Saccharomyces cerevisiae S288C: one gene and its partners. Changing the gene in region 1 together with any one later gene gives a genetic interaction. Each region holds a gene or a part of one and is shown in the gene's direction. Other genes may lie near its edges.

What was found.
Region 2: mutations in RAX1 (region 1) and PST1 together harm fitness more than expected from each alone (negative genetic interaction), as found in Saccharomyces cerevisiae (one large-scale study listed by BioGRID).
Region 3: mutations in RAX1 (region 1) and OXP1 together harm fitness more than expected from each alone (negative genetic interaction), as found in Saccharomyces cerevisiae (one large-scale study listed by BioGRID).
Region 4: mutations in RAX1 (region 1) and URA4 together harm fitness more than expected from each alone (negative genetic interaction), as found in Saccharomyces cerevisiae (one large-scale study listed by BioGRID).

The regions. Positions count from the first base shown.
Region 1 is NC_001147.6:879,342-882,930, forward strand, and holds RAX1 (Rax1p), read left to right. Parts: upstream 1-1,623; coding exon 1,624-2,931; downstream 2,932-3,589. Other genes in the region: BUD7 (exomer complex subunit), read left to right, coding at 1-1,334; YOR302W (uncharacterized protein), read left to right, coding at 3,424-3,501; carbamoyl-phosphate synthase (glutamine-hydrolyzing) CPA1, read left to right, coding at 3,558-3,589. UniProt on the Saccharomyces cerevisiae protein: Required for the establishment of the bipolar budding pattern. Involved in selecting bud sites at both the distal and proximal poles of daughter cells as well as near previously used division sites on mother cells.
Region 2 is NC_001136.10:561,770-565,519, forward strand, and holds PST1 (Pst1p), read left to right. Parts: upstream 1-1,757; coding exon 1,758-3,092; downstream 3,093-3,750. Other genes in the region: SCF E2 ubiquitin-protein ligase catalytic subunit CDC34, read right to left, coding at 1-558; EMC10 (Emc10p), read right to left, coding at 3,254-3,750. UniProt on the Saccharomyces cerevisiae protein: Has a partially redundant function to ECM33 in cell wall integrity. May be involved in a repair mechanism activated in response to cell wall damage.
Region 3 is NC_001143.9:26,274-32,366, reverse strand, and holds OXP1 (5-oxoprolinase), read left to right. Parts: upstream 1-1,679; coding exon 1,680-5,540; downstream 5,541-6,093. Other genes in the region: DOA1 (Doa1p), read left to right, coding at 1-407; YRA2 (Yra2p), read left to right, coding at 674-1,285. UniProt on the Saccharomyces cerevisiae protein: Catalyzes the cleavage of 5-oxo-L-proline to form L-glutamate coupled to the hydrolysis of ATP to ADP and inorganic phosphate.
Region 4 is NC_001144.5:962,083-965,400, forward strand, and holds URA4 (dihydroorotase), read left to right. Parts: upstream 1-1,702; coding exon 1,703-2,797; downstream 2,798-3,318. Other genes in the region: YLR419W (RNA helicase), read left to right, coding at 1-653; proteasome regulatory particle lid subunit RPN13, read right to left, coding at 3,008-3,318. UniProt on the Saccharomyces cerevisiae protein: Catalyzes the conversion of ureidosuccinic acid (USA) to dihydroorotate, the third step of the de novo pyrimidine biosynthetic pathway.

The DNA.
Region 1 (3,589 bases):
TTGAGATAGTTAAGCTGACTCGTAATGTTAGCAGGGCGGAAATAATGTTGAAGAATCTGGCTACCGACAACCCTGAGGCGATCATAATACTAATCAAGATCTTTTTGGTGTGTGATCAAGAATTAGACGCAATAAAGCTCACATACGATATGCTTTCGCAGGATAAAATAATAAACAACACTAATAACCGCATGGATTATAAATCTGAATTACTGTGCTTACAAGCGCAATTTTTGATAGACAAAAGGCAGGATTACAGCTTGGCGCAAAACATAGCGCAAGAGGCAGTCAATTGTTCTCCCAGTGAATTTAGACCTTGGTATCTTTTATCCAAGGTGTATGTAAAGCTAAATGATATTGAAAATGCCTTACTGATACTGAATTCATGCCCTATGTCTCCATTAAAGGAAAAATACGTACTGAAAAGAGTAGCTCCGTTGCCTTCGAATAATAGTCTTCATTTGCCATTGCCAATTGACGTTGTACTGGATGAAGTGACGTCGTTGAATCCACAAGACGTTCAGAATGAACACCGCTCTGCGGATCCAATGCTGGTCAATTTAGCTGCGTCGAACTTGAAATCTACTTTCCAATTGGCATACCGATTATTGACAGAAATTGTGCAGATCACCGGCTGGGAAAATCTGTTAAAGTACAGATCAAACATTTTCGTTATGGAAGAAGAGTACCAAAAATCATCATCTTCGTTACCAAAGGACGTTAACAAACAAGAAGAACAGCCTCTGAGGGCTAAACGGCTGTGTGAACGATGGTTAGACAACCTCTTCATGCTTTTATATGAAGACCTGAAGATGTATACATTATGGCAAACCGAACAACTGTACATGGATGCACAGAATAACAACCACAATAAGTTGACTTTCGAATGGGAGTTATTTGGCCTTTGTGCACGTCGACTGGGCCATTTCCCTGAGGCCGCCAAGGCCTTCCAGAACGGTTTATCGCAGAGATTTTCATCAAGGTGCGCGAGGAAACTGCTGGAATATTGTATAAACGAACGCCAACGGGTCAAAAATTTTATAAACTCACCTAATTCGCATGACATGGTCCCTGAAATAGTAAGCTCACGCATAAGAGAGCTAGACAATAGCATTATCGACCTTTGCGTGAAGATATGCTGCTGGAACCACCGTTGGTATACGGAATTTTCCATAAGTTTACTTGATTGTTTAAGTGTGGTTATTCAAGATATGAGTCTGACCAAAGTTTCGAATGAAATCTCGTCAAGATATCCAGAAACTGTTCTCAACTTGGTGCAGGAGAATTTGCTCAATTTCTTCACTACTTGCACCATTGGATGCTACGATGCATAAATACGATAAAAAGACATTAATACGTATATATAATCCAAAAAAAATTGGCGATACGCTTCAACGTTGTGTCAAACTCTTGGGTCACTTTAAAGAAAACCCAGCATACATTAATACAGAGCAATGCTGGTTATGTAACTTCGCCGCCCGCCGCCATTCGAGGAAAAATATTCGTGTTTCGAGAATGCGGGCAAAACGAAAATATCAATAAAACACATACGGGAAATTCATTGTGCACAACGACCTCTAACAATTTCTGCCAAAAAGAAAGTTCAAGAGCGTCCCATTCATCATGAAGGAAGAGCTCAGCAAAGTGAGCAGTATGCAAAATTTCGAGATGATCCAGCGTGAACGATTGCCAACATTGTATGAAGTGTTAATACAGAGGACATCGCAGCCAGTTGATCTCTGGACTTTTTATACATTTCTTTCACAATTCCCATATGCCATCAACTATCTGGACTTTTGGGTTGACCTTATGACACATACACGACTTTGCAAAAACTACATAGAGTTGGTAAGAAAATCATTAATCAACTTTCCACAAGAACAACAGCAGAATGGAAGTACATCTACGGCTACATTTGACTTGCTGAACGCACTGATAGAAGAAGGGCACCTAGACCCGGAAGCACCTGATAAACTCTTAGAAAATAGCGGCCCAGACGTGCCCTTTTCACCAAAATTAAACGAATTGCTGGGTGATTGGAAGCACCAATCGGGTATCGGTCAAGAAGCCCTGAGAAACGAAGACGTAGCGCTGATCGTCGACGAGATAATGAAAAGGCGCTCCCAACAAGACGGAAAACCGCAGATAACTACAAAACAACTGCTGCACAGCGCAGTTGGTCTCTGCAACACCTATTTAGTATCGCCCGAACAAAGCGAACGGTACCTGAGCAACATCCCCATGGAAACGCGGAACCGCATAATAGAAAGCGTACAAATCGAGCGAAAGTACGACATTGAGATTTTTGACGACCTAAAAAACCTAACTTACCAATTCCTAGAAATGGATTGTTTCCCAAAATTTCTAAGCCGCGTCGCACTACACAACATCCACGATGAAATATCTGATTGGAGATTCCACTCAGTGGGCGTCACCAACGAAAAAAGCAATCGCTCTCGAGGCCAGACGCACATTTCTCGCTCGCCATTCTCCAATCACACGTCAATCAGTCGTATTGGCTTTGGTTTGCTCTGGCTAGGCATCGGCTTTTGGATCGGATATGTTCTAATCTTCCTGGCGTATAGTCGCGCAATCCGTGTCGTTACGGTCGTGCCATTTACACTGGGATGCTACTGCATTGTGTGTGGCATGTATCAAGTGGACATTGTGTATTCCTGGTTTGGCGTCACACAGAGACTTCTCCACAGACACAAAAACGCTGGCAATGACGAAGGAGATGCTTCTAGTGATACCGATCACGTGCCAATGATACTTGCGGTGTTCGGCGGTAGGCGCCGTCTTACCCGCATAGAGCACCCATTTACTCGGCAGCTTCTACGTAAGCGTGGACTGTGGTGTCTGCTTCTCGTAGTGGGTGCCACTGCCGCATTCACAGTTATTTTCAGCTGTGTTCCCGGCCGTCGTGTATGATGTAATCCATCACCCCCCTATAAAAACACCTGTGCACCGCATATTTCCATAGCGCGTGACGCTAAGTACAAGAAACAGCGAGGGGCCGTTAAGTGCAGGCTTTACCGAGGGCGCCGGCTGGCGCTTCCCGTGGAAGGGTGTTTGACTCATCATCGCATCGCATTACCTCATGATGAGTAAATAGTTGCGATTTCACTTATCACCTCTCGCGGAAAAAAAAGGCGATGACATGATATATAAGGCTCTCTCGTAAGACACTTAACTATCCAACGTTCATTAGATTATTCGGTCAATTTCTTTTTTCATGCCCCTCCTTTTTCTTTTCTTTTCTTGACTCGTCGTTTCTTTTTCTTTTTTTTTTTTTTTTTTTTCTTCAGAACTATAACACATAGATACACTCGAACATCTAATTGTTTAAATACTGCAAAGAATACAAGGTAATCGACTCTTCTACATACCCTTTTTGCAGATTTGAAATAAAAAAAACATTATATGTTTAGCTTATCGAACTCTCAATACACCTGCCAAGACTACATATCTGACCACATCTGGAAAACTAGCTCCCACTAATTTCATTGCTTAATAATCAGAAATTCTATCACAAACCACTCCTAAAAATATTTCAAATGTCCTCCGCTGCAACAAAAGCTACTTTCTG
Region 2 (3,750 bases), on another chromosome or scaffold:
AGATATGTACGCCGATTCAGAAGTGGGCATTATGAAACCTTTAGGGATATCTTGTTTCGATCTTTCCACTTCCATTTTGACTCTTTGCTTGTATTGTTCAGGGTTCTTTCTGTAATCAACAGCGGCATCGACATTTGCTGGCGAGTTGATATTGGGGTCCTCTAATAGAGATACTATAGAGATCAACACACTTTCCACGGTCTGCACGGGGGACCACGTTTCAGCATCAGGTTCGTCGGTCATAGGATCCCCACTTTGATGTAAAATAGAAATACAAAGCCTGCCATCCCTGTAAACGTTTGGATGGTAGATAGCCGGCGTAAATCGAAACTGTGGTGGAGAAAAGGGAAAGTCTTCCGGAAATCTCATTTGAGCTTTGAAAAACCCTCCATGATAAATGGAATCCTCATTTAGCACCATAACACCTATGTTCCAAGTGAAAATATTTGAATCATCCTCTAGTTCTATATGAAATGAGGGAATAGCTTTCTTAGGATCAGTAAGTTCTCTATATTGCCGTAACAGTAAGCTAGAAGCGGTGCTTTTGCGACTACTCATATTTACGTTGTATTGTTCTTTTTTCCTTGTTTGGTGTACTAAAAAATAACAGTCGCTATAAGTCCTAAACAGTAAAGGACAAAGATGTCAGCGGCAGAGAGTATAAAGGAGTACTATTCGACTGAAATAACAAACGCAAAGCTCCTATTATTTTGTAATAGTATGCTCTTTATTGTCCTTCTTAACTTTAAGTTTCTGCTCTTGTTCTTTACAGATTCAAGAGGAAACCAAAAAAAAATCAAAGAAAAAGAATCGAATTTTTCCCAAAATGAAAGTGTAAGGAAAAAAAAAGAGGAGATAGAAAATCCGAAGAACCCCAAGGGACGGACAAACACAAGACGATGCTGCACGTGGTTAGTTTTGTAAGCGCAGGTTACGATAAAGAGCATAAACAAATCATTACTAAGAGCGGTATACAAGAATAAAGTGACAAACAGTTCTCCCTATTTAACGCACTTAACGTAGGTTCCATCATTATGATGCTATTGCCACATCAAATCTCCTTTGGACTGAACCCGCATTAGTAATTGCCCGCTTTTCTTTTCTTCCGCGGGTGGGCCCCATAAATAGAAAAAAAAAGAAAGAAAGCGTTTAAATAAATAGAGTGAGCGGATTTCTATTATCTGAAAACCGGGTTATAATGCACGTGATATGCACGTGGGAGCTGGGCGGCTATTTTTTTCTTTTTCAAATGTATTTGAGTCGTTTAAAATAGCACTCCCCGTTGACCCGCCAACTCATTTTTGTTTTCTCTTTACGGAAAAGGCTTTAAATTAAGGCCCGCATTTTCGGTATCCTTGAGGGAAAAAAACCAAAGAAACCCAAAAAAGACCACAAAGCTGGGATATCTTAATTAGTAGAGAGGGCTTTTAGTTTTAATAGTGTTACGAGTCTCTAAAAATAGCGTAGGCACACTGCCCTGATTCGGACTTTGATCAGAGTTTATTACTACAAAGAGTAATGTTGAATGATTGGGCTGGGTTTTCATAGCATTAACTCTAAGTAATATCATTCAACCGCTCAAGGTTCCTTACGAGCAAACCCATATATGCTCTACAGATAAACATATAAATAGCGTGCATATTCTTCTCTATTCAACTCTTGCTCTGTATAGTTCAATAGAATCTTACAGTACATCACGCTGCAATAGATCTAATCCAAGAGAGAAGCAAAAAAAAAAAGCTCGCTATAAAAATATCATGCAATTACATTCACTTATCGCTTCAACTGCGCTCTTAATAACGTCAGCTTTGGCTGCTACTTCCTCTTCTTCCAGCATACCCTCTTCCTGTACCATAAGCTCACATGCCACGGCCACAGCTCAGAGTGACTTAGATAAATATAGCCGCTGTGATACGTTAGTCGGGAACTTAACTATTGGTGGTGGTTTGAAGACTGGTGCTTTGGCTAATGTTAAAGAAATCAACGGGTCTCTAACTATATTTAACGCTACAAATCTAACCTCATTCGCTGCTGATTCCTTGGAGTCCATCACAGATTCTTTGAACCTACAGAGTTTGACAATCTTGACTTCTGCTTCATTTGGGTCTTTACAGAGCGTTGATAGTATAAAACTGATTACTCTACCCGCCATCTCCAGTTTTACTTCAAATATCAAATCTGCTAACAACATTTATATTTCCGACACTTCGTTACAATCTGTCGATGGATTCTCAGCCTTGAAAAAAGTTAACGTGTTCAACGTCAATAACAATAAGAAATTAACCTCGATCAAATCTCCAGTTGAAACAGTCAGCGATTCTTTACAATTTTCGTTCAACGGTAACCAGACTAAAATCACCTTCGATGACTTGGTTTGGGCAAACAATATCAGTTTGACCGATGTCCACTCTGTTTCCTTCGCTAACTTGCAAAAGATTAACTCTTCATTGGGTTTCATCAACAACTCCATCTCAAGTTTGAATTTCACTAAGCTAAACACCATTGGCCAAACCTTCAGTATCGTTTCCAATGACTACTTGAAGAACTTGTCGTTCTCTAATTTGTCAACCATAGGTGGTGCTCTTGTCGTTGCTAACAACACTGGTTTACAAAAAATTGGTGGTCTCGACAACCTAACAACCATTGGCGGTACTTTGGAAGTTGTTGGTAACTTCACCTCCTTGAACCTAGACTCTTTGAAGTCTGTCAAGGGTGGCGCAGATGTCGAATCAAAGTCAAGCAATTTCTCCTGTAATGCTTTGAAAGCTTTGCAAAAGAAAGGGGGTATCAAGGGTGAATCTTTTGTCTGCAAAAATGGTGCATCATCCACATCTGTTAAACTATCGTCCACTTCCAAATCTCAATCAAGCCAAACTACTGCCAAGGTTTCCAAGTCATCTTCTAAGGCCGAGGAAAAGAAGTTCACTTCTGGCGATATCAAGGCTGCTGCTTCTGCCTCTAGTGTTTCTAGTTCTGGCGCTTCCAGCTCTAGCTCTAAGAGTTCCAAAGGCAATGCCGCTATCATGGCACCAATTGGCCAAACAACCCCTTTGGTCGGTCTTTTGACGGCAATCATCATGTCTATAATGTAATGGAATGAAGAAATATTCTTCATTTTTGATAACTAGTACCTGTCATTCACGACATGTGAACAAATAAAAACATTTATTTAAAAATTTTATGTATTCAAATATTTTCGGGAAAGAGATAAAAGTAACGACACTTAAAAATTTAAAAAATCACAATACTTTATTTACTCAGTCTTTTGATCAGCTCCGGCACCTCCTTGTTGTTGCTTCTTTGCTGAGCCCGCAACAAAATTGTAAATCAATAGGCCTAAAAGTAACATTTTCCAGTTCTTTTGAAACCAAGACACCTCCTTAACCTCTTCATCTTCTTCGAATTGTGCAGTGCTTCCATCCTTATTCTTACTAGCTTTTTTATCAGCATAAGTTTTGGTTTTCTTCTTTAATTTGGTGACTGGTGCAGTAGGTCCCGCTTCTGGATATCTGACTGTAGCAGTAATAGCATCGTTAGTCTCGTCATATGATAACGACACTTGTTTGACCTCATTATCTTCATCTACATCCACAATTAAATCGTATTTTAGTGGTGTCCTCAGCTTCATGTAGCTAAAACATGGCATATCCAGCTTACCTTCAATCTGGGCATTCAAACAGTATTCTCCAGAAACTTCAACATCCTGTATATTAACGGTTGTTACTGTAACATTCCCATCGGATGTACTAT
Region 3 (6,093 bases), on another chromosome or scaffold:
ATAATGAAAACTGGGGTGTGAAATTACTGGAATCAAATCAAGTTTATAAATCAATTTTTGAGACTATAGATACTGAATTTTCTCAGGCATCTGCTAAACAGTCACAGAATTTGGCTATTGCAGTTTCCACACTAATTTTCAACTATTCAGCTCTCGTCACGAAAGGGAACTCTGATTTAGAACTTTTGCCTATCGTAGCTGACGCCATCAACACCAAGTATGGGCCATTGGAAGAGTATCAAGAATGCGAAGAAGCCGCATATAGGCTAACCGTAGCTTACGGAAATTTGGCTACTGTTGAACCTACATTAAGACAATTTGCCAACTCCGTAACTTGGCTTGCAAACATCAAAAGGAGCTATGGGAACGTGCCAAGGTTTAAGGATATTTTCGACGATCTCTCCTAATACTTTTACAGCAATCATATAAAACACATAATGTCTAGATAGCAAATAATCTTTAAAATTCTTTCTGCCCTATTGAAAATTATGACAAACTATCACGGTCATTTTCTGTCTAACTCGGCAAGAAATTATCATCGTGAAATGAAAAAGGTTACATACAATAAGGTTATTTTGAGTACAGACTGATAAATAGATGGAAAAGACTAAAAAACTGAAACGATAAGCGTCTAGTACCTTTTCCATTAGACGATTCAATACTGCATTTTGCAATGGACAAAGCATTTGACGAAATTATTGGAAATAGTCACACAGACAGCTCATCTAATCATAAGGTAACGAGATACCGCAGAAGGGATTTAAGAAATGAATTAGGACCTAGACTGGGATTTGCGCCTTCGGATGCTGCATCAAGGTCGAAAGATCGCCTTTATAGAGAGAGGGAAGAGCCTCCTTTGCCTAAGAGAATTAGAATATCCAAAATCCCACTAGACGTTTCTGACTACACCCTCGATGATATGATTAAAGAGTTTGGCTCGCCAATATTTTCGAAAATTTTTGACAATAAAGAGGATCGTACATGTATTTACGAATTTGAAGACCCAGAAGTTTTGGAAAAGATTGTCGAGCGTTATAATGGACATGAGTTACATAATGCAAAAATTGAAGTGGAGATTTACCAACCACAGAGAAAGCATTCTAGAATGAATGCCCACAACCGTCGCAAACAGACGGCTCAAGAACACGGAAGAGGCAGGCCAGGGAGCCATTATCGCCAAAAGCCTAACAGAGTCTCCAAAAAGAACAAGGGCCGTGAGAAGAATAACACTCCTACTTCTGTCGAAGCTCTTGACGCTGAATTAGATGCTTACATGAAAGGTTAAGCAATTGTGTATCTACTTATAATTTCTTTATAGTCTTTTCAATGTTTTTTTACTCCATCAGTCTACAGATATGAAACCTCAGTACTACTTTTTACCTAAATAATTAATTTTTATTTCTAGAGGGTAGCAATGATAAACACTTTACCAATCTCTGGAATTAAGAACAAGCGTACTCCGCTCTATTCAGTATTATTTGCATGAATACTTCAACAATTGTTTTGTTTGCCTCAGGTGCTTTTCCGATTGAGCACGATCGCCATAACATTACCACTGAAAAGAAAGATAAGATCAAATGTTACGTGGTGTTGAAGAAAGAATGCCAAAAACTAAGAACTGAACTTAAACAGTAATAATTTTGAGCATTGAAAACCTAAATATAACTTCTTGGTATACAATGCAGAAAGGAAACATAAGAATTGCCATCGATAAGGGTGGAACTTTCACTGATTGTGTGGGGAATATTGGTACAGGTAAACAAGAACATGATACTGTCATCAAGCTCTTGTCGGTGGATCCCAAAAACTATCCAGATGCTCCCCTTGAAGGCATAAGACGTCTCTTGGAGGTGCTTGAACACAAGACAATTCCTCGCGGTATTCCTCTAGACATCTCTAATGTGAGAAGTTTAAGAATGGGGACAACCCTAGCTACAAACTGCGCTCTAGAAAGAAATGGTGAACGTTGTGCCTTCATTACTACGAAAGGCTTTAAGGATTCATTGCTGATTGGAGACCAAACCAGGCCAGATATCTTCAACTTAAATATAAAAAAGGTAGTGCCATTATATGACACTGTAGTTGAAATAGATGAGAGAGTTACTTTAGAAGATTTCTCGGAAGACCCTTATTTTACCAAATCGTCTCCTAATGAACAAGAAGGTATCCTGGAAGGTAATAGTGGCGAAATGGTAAGGGTCATAAAGAAGCCAGATGAATCAAGCGTAAGATCTATTCTGAAAGTGCTTTATGCTAGCGGAATCAAGTCTATTGCGATAGCATTTTTACACTCATACACTTTTCCAGACCATGAGCGAATTGTTGGTAATATTGCCAGGGAGATTGGGTTTTCTCATGTTTCATTATCATCTGAAGTCTCTCCAATGATAAAATTTTTACCGAGGGCTCACAGTTCTGTCGCAGATGCCTACCTTACTCCGGTAATTAAAAAGTACTTGAATAGCATTTCTGCAGGTTTGAGCCACGCAGAAGATACCCACATTCAATTCATGCAGTCTGATGGTGGTTTAGTGGATGGGGGAAAATTTTCCGGTTTGAAATCTATTTTATCTGGTCCTGCAGGTGGCGTAATAGGTTATTCTAGTACATGCTATGATAAAAATAATAACATACCCTTAATAGGCTTTGACATGGGAGGAACATCTACTGATGTCAGTAGGTACGGCGATGGGAGGTTAGAACATGTTTTTGAAACTGTTACCGCAGGGATCATCATACAATCTCCTCAACTTGACATCCATACTGTTGCTGCTGGAGGAAGTTCTATTTTGTCATGGAAAAACGGGTTATTCAGAGTAGGCCCTGATTCAGCAGCTGCTGATCCAGGCCCTGCAGCCTACAGAAAGGGCGGGCCTTTGACCATTACAGACGCCAACCTCTTTTTAGGACGTTTGGTTCCTGAGTTCTTCCCCAAAATTTTTGGGCCCAATGAGGATGAATCACTTGACTTAGAAACCACTACTTTGAAATTCAGAGAATTAACAGATGTCATCAATAAGGATCTGAATTCAAATCTAACCATGGAAGAGGTTGCCTATGGATTTATCAAAGTAGCTAACGAATGCATGGCAAGACCTGTGAGGGCCATTACAGAAGCAAAAGGACATGTAGTATCTCAGCATCGGTTAGTTTCCTTTGGCGGGGCTGGCGGGCAACACGCCATAGCGGTTGCAGATTCATTGGGCATTGACACTGTTTTAATTCATAGATATTCTTCTATCTTGTCCGCTTATGGCATTTTCTTAGCAGATGTTATTGAAGAAAACCAAGAGCCTTGCTCTTTTATCTTGGGTGAGCCAGAGACCATCTTGAAAGTGAAAAAAAGATTCTTAGAACTTTCTAAAAATTCAATCAAAAACCTTTTATCTCAGTCGTTTTCTCGGGAGGACATAGTCTTGGAAAGATATTTAAATCTCAGATATGAAGGTACTGAAACCAGTTTGATGATATTACAAAAATATGATGACCAATGGAATTTTAGGGAATGGTTCTCTGAAGCTCATAAAAAAGAGTTCGGATTCTCATTCGATGACAAACGAATTATAATTGATGATATAAGGATAAGAGCAATTGGGAAATCAGGCGTTAGAAAAGAAAAAACGGTTGATGAGCAATTGATTGAAATTTCCCATTTCAAGAAAGCCGACGTGTCAAAGGATGCTAGTTTTACCCAGAAAGCATATTTTGACAACAAATGGGTCGACACTGCGGTCTTCAAAATTGATGATCTTCCTGCCGGAACAATTATCGAGGGCCCAGCCATATTGGCTGACGGTACCCAAACAAATATTATTTTACCAAACAGCCAAGCAACAATTTTAAACTCTCATATATTTATCAAGATCAACCAAAAGGCTGCGAAGACATTATCTAAAAGCGGATATGAACTTGATATAGATCCAATCTTATTGTCTATTTTCAGTCATAGGTTTATGGATATCGCCCTCCAGATGGGTACTCAATTGAGGAAAACTTCTGTTTCAACTAACGTCAAAGAGAGATTAGATTTTTCATGTGCACTATTCGACTCTAAAGGAAACTTAGTCGCTAACGCTCCTCATGTACCTGTTCACTTAGGATCAATGTCAACCTGCATATCAGCACAGGCGAAGTTATGGGAAGGCAAATTAAAGCCTGGTGATGTTTTAATCACAAACCATCCGGATATTGGTGGTACTCATTTACCAGACATAACAGTAATAACTCCTTCTTTCTCTTCAACTGGCGAATTGATATTTTATGTGGCTTCAAGAGCCCATCATGCAGATATTGGAGGTATTCTACCCGGTTCAGTGCCTCCAAATTCCAAAGAATTGTACGAAGAAGGAACCGCAATTTATTCCGAATTGGTTGTCAAAGAGGGAATTTTCCAGGAAGAATTAATTTACAAGCTTTTCGTAGAAGATCCAGGCAAATACCCAGGCTGCTCAGGTTCAAGAAGATTTAGTGATAACATAAGCGATTTAAAAGCGCAAGTCGCAGCTAACACAAAAGGGATACAGTTAATTGGGTCATTAACTAAGGAATATGATCTGGCTACAATATTGAAATACATGGCTGCAATTCAGACAAATGCATCTGAATCCATAAAAAAAATGCTTGCAAAAATGGTTGAACATTTTGGCACAACGAAGTTTTCTGGCGAAGATCGCTTAGATGATGGAAGCTTAATTAAACTACAAGTTATCATAAGACCTGAAAAAGAGGAGTATATTTTTAATTTCGATGGCACTTCTCCCCAAGTTTATGGTAATTTAAATGCACCAGAGGCTATTACTAATTCTGCGATTCTTTATTGTCTACGGTGTCTAGTAGGCGAAGATATTCCTTTAAATCAAGGTTGTTTAAAACCCTTAACAATAAAAATTCCTGCTGGTTCCCTCTTGAGCCCCCGATCCGGTGCTGCTGTTGTCGGAGGCAATGTATTAACTTCCCAAAGAGTGACAGATGTAATCTTAAAAACATTTAACGTCATGGCAGATTCTCAAGGTGACTGTAACAACTTTACATTTGGAACTGGAGGAAATTCTGGTAACAAAACCGATAAGCAGATCAAAGGCTTTGGATATTATGAAACCATATGTGGCGGCTCGGGGGCTGGTGCAGATTCATGGAGAGGAAGTGGTTGGAATGGCTCAGACGCTGTACACACGAATATGACCAATACAAGAATGACAGATACTGAGGTATTTGAAAGGAGATACCCCGTTCTGTTGAAAGAGTTCTCGATCAGAAGAGGTTCAGGAGGCAAAGGTAAATATACTGGCGGAAATGGCGTAGTAAGGGATGTTCAATTTCGGAAGGCTGTAACAGCATCTATATTATCAGAACGTCGTGTCATTGGCCCTCATGGTATAAAGGGAGGACAAGACGGTAGTAGAGGTGAGAATTTATGGGTAAGACATAGCACAGGCGCATTAATCAATGTCGGCGGTAAAAATACGATTTACGCTCAACCCGGTGATCGATTCATCATTAAAACCCCTGGTGGTGGGGGATTTGGACAATACAAGGATTAAAGCATTTCTTTTTGGTTCTTAGTCAATATCGAATTACACGGAACCATTGGTATACCGTGGATGCGCCAGCCACAAATTGACTTTTACAGAAAGTACAGTTTAATTATATAAGAACAGGCACTTAACAATGTTTCGGAACTCTGTAGATAAAACCAAATTACTCTTTCGAAAAGGCTACATTCTACATCAAAATCACCTGTGCAATATATATATATATATATATATATATATATATGCACATATTCGTTAATTTCTTCACTTTTTTCCCCAAATATTAAACAGATGGCTTCATTTCTTCAACATTATTTTCTGGTTCCTATGCCATTTTTAGCCTACTAATAATTATCGTTGAAAAATGTTTCTTGAATAAGTCTTAATGTAAGGATATATCATATGTTGAGATATAAAAATTTAAGTATAAATGAATCAAGACAATAATTTACATTGATTAAGTTATTTCAAAGTATAAGTATTTAGTATCATCATCTATTAAAGCACATTGAACCCTAATGTATGATGCCAATTGCGAATGCACTCACCGAAAAATTAAGGA
Region 4 (3,318 bases), on another chromosome or scaffold:
GGGTGCAACTACCAGATGTAAAGTATCTATCAACAAGTTCCGGTGCTGTTGAAAAAGATCCTGAAGCCAAAATGATCAAATACTGGATTCGAAGCGAAGAGTATCAGGACAAATTAGAAGAATATAAGACGAAAATTTCGCAAGAGACGCAAAAGGTTGATTTGGAAGATTTACCGTTACCTGCTACTAGGGCATTCATTCATCCAAGTTCAGTCTTATTTTCAACCAATTCAGTAAACTTGGAAGACGCTAAGTTACTCTCTGAGGTGGATGGTCCAATATCCCGTCAATCCAAAATACCAACCGTTGTAAAATACCCATTTGTTTTGTTTACCACGTCTCAAGTTACTAATAAGTTGTATTTGAGGGACTTAACCCCAACTACTACATTATCATTACTATTATTCGGAGGGGCAATCTCTTATGACATTGGAGGTACTATTCATTCACCGGGCATCGTTGTCGACAACTGGCTCCCAATTAGAACCTGGTGTAAGAATGGTGTTTTAATCAAGGAACTGAGAACACAACTTGATGAGGCCATAAGGAAAAAGTTAGAAAGTCCCGATTATGCTAAAAAATCTCAAATTGATAATTCTGGTGCTGATAAAACTCTAAAAATTGTTGAAAAAATTATAGCTTCCGAACAATAGTAATCAGTTCCTACTGTAGTCCCTGTATAATAATTATCATCTTCATTTTCGAAAAGGAATTTTTTTAACATATAGAAGTGTCAAAGTATAAAACACTAACAAAAATCTAAGAGATTATTGCGACTGCGTGTTTTTCTCTTTGCTGAATCAGGGCTAGAATCCCGTAAACTACATAGCACATTGTCTTTGCCATATTTTAAAAATTTTGTGGCGCCGTCAAAATAAAAAAAAAATACTGAAGGATGCGAGGTTCGAACTCGCGCGGACAACCGTCCAACAGATCTTAAGTCTGCCGCCTTAGACCACTCGGCCAACCCTCCGTCGATAATACAACAACAAGGAAATACAGGATACGAACACCATCCAGTTTAACTTGATTAATCTTTACGCATGCATATTGCTACATCTTTTTTATTCTGCAATATACATCTGTTTATATCTCATTAATGTTGGTAAGCCTCTGAAAAATTTATCAAATACTAGTACAATTGTTTACCAACATCATTTTCGTTGCTAGAAAATTACTATACACCGTTAAGAAAAGACATAAATCATGAGACTAATAGAACAACACTAGGGATTAGCCAATTTAATGGGAGCTGAAATGCAGGGATTAATTATGCAATTACAAAATGAATGGTATCGTTTGAAATGAAAGAAGAAACACTAATATTATAACATAGAAATATCGATTTCTTCCTGCGAATTCCCATGTCCTCGTTGAGAACTTCTAATATGTTTTGTATGCCTAATATTATAGCTTTACAAAAAAATAGAATCTCAACAATTATCCCACAATTCACTCATGTCATGCTGCCTCTCGCGTATTTTTTCTTGAAACCGATGCTAGTTTAGTTGTCTTTCGGCATCAGCTCTAATTTTTTCAAGAATAGTATCTACAGAGTCAAATTTCATCATTCGGAGAATTCCGATGAATCGGCATCGTCAGAGAAGCTATATAAGAAGAGATAAACACATTTGAAAGATAGGATATACTTTGAAAGTGTTCTGGTGACCACTATATCACTTAAGTAATACCTAACAAAGCAATGGTACAAGAAATCGATTTAGGTTTGACATGTGATATGCATGTTCATGTAAGAGAGGGTGCGATGTGTGAACTAGTCACCCCCAAGATTAGAGATGGTGGGGTTTCAATTGCTTACATCATGCCAAATTTACAACCTCCAATTACCACACTAGATAGAGTGATTGAATACAAAAAGACACTGCAGAAACTAGCTCCTAAAACTACCTTCTTAATGAGTTTTTATCTTTCAAAAGACTTAACTCCAGATTTAATTCATGAAGCTGCCCAACAACATGCCATTCGTGGAGTAAAGTGTTATCCAGCGGGAGTAACAACAAATTCGGCTGCTGGGGTGGATCCAAATGACTTCAGCGCATTTTACCCAATTTTCAAGGCTATGCAAGAAGAGAACCTGGTATTAAATTTGCATGGGGAAAAACCTTCTGTCCATGATGGAGACAAAGAACCTATTCATGTATTGAATGCAGAGGAAGCCTTTTTGCCAGCCTTGAAAAAATTGCATAATGATTTCCCAAACCTGAAAATAATTCTGGAACACTGCACTAGCGAGTCGGCAATAAAGACAATCGAGGATATAAATAAGAACGTGAAGAAAGCCACTGACGTAAAGGTTGCTGCCACATTAACGGCTCATCACTTATTTTTAACAATTGATGATTGGGCCGGAAATCCGGTAAATTTTTGCAAACCTGTTGCGAAACTTCCAAATGACAAAAAGGCTCTAGTCAAAGCTGCTGTATCAGGGAAACCATATTTTTTCTTTGGATCTGATTCAGCACCTCATCCTGTACAAAATAAGGCCAATTACGAGGGTGTTTGCGCAGGAGTTTACTCACAATCTTTTGCGATCCCTTATATCGCCCAAGTTTTTGAAGAGCAAAATGCCTTGGAGAACTTAAAGGGCTTTGTTTCCGACTTCGGAATTTCCTTTTATGAGGTTAAAGATAGCGAAGTGGCTTCTTCAGATAAGGCAATATTATTCAAAAAAGAACAAGTTATCCCTCAGGTTATCAGCGATGGCAAAGACATAAGCATCATCCCATTTAAAGCAGGTGATAAACTAAGTTGGTCGGTGAGATGGGAACCTCGTTAATATGCAACAATATGTAGGCTCATTTGAGAGTATAGACCATATATACATATTTATGGGAAAAATAAACTTACCTTCCAATAGAAGTTATAGATGCCATCATCATGCCTATTGTTATGGTCCGTATCTCTTTACAGAAGTTCACAGCCAAATGCGTTGATATGGTATATTTTTTCTCTTCAGTTTTTTATCAAAAAATGCCACAACCTTGATTTAATCTTGCATACTAACATCCACATCTTGAGCTTTTTGCTTTTCGTCATTGCTTTCTTCCTCATCACTTTCACTACTATTATTCAGCACTCCAATCATCTTATTGTAAATTTCTTTATCTTTCGCACTCAATTCATTTAAGGGCAAATTACCTGAGTTCTTCTCTTGCAGCCAAAAGAAGTACCTTTCGTTGGATGAAAAAACTAAAGCAAATATTCTGCCACTTTTACTGGATTTTATTGGAACCCACATGGTCTCTCCAGGAATTAAAATCAAAGAAATAGGATCAAGTTCCCTCCCGACCGGCTTTT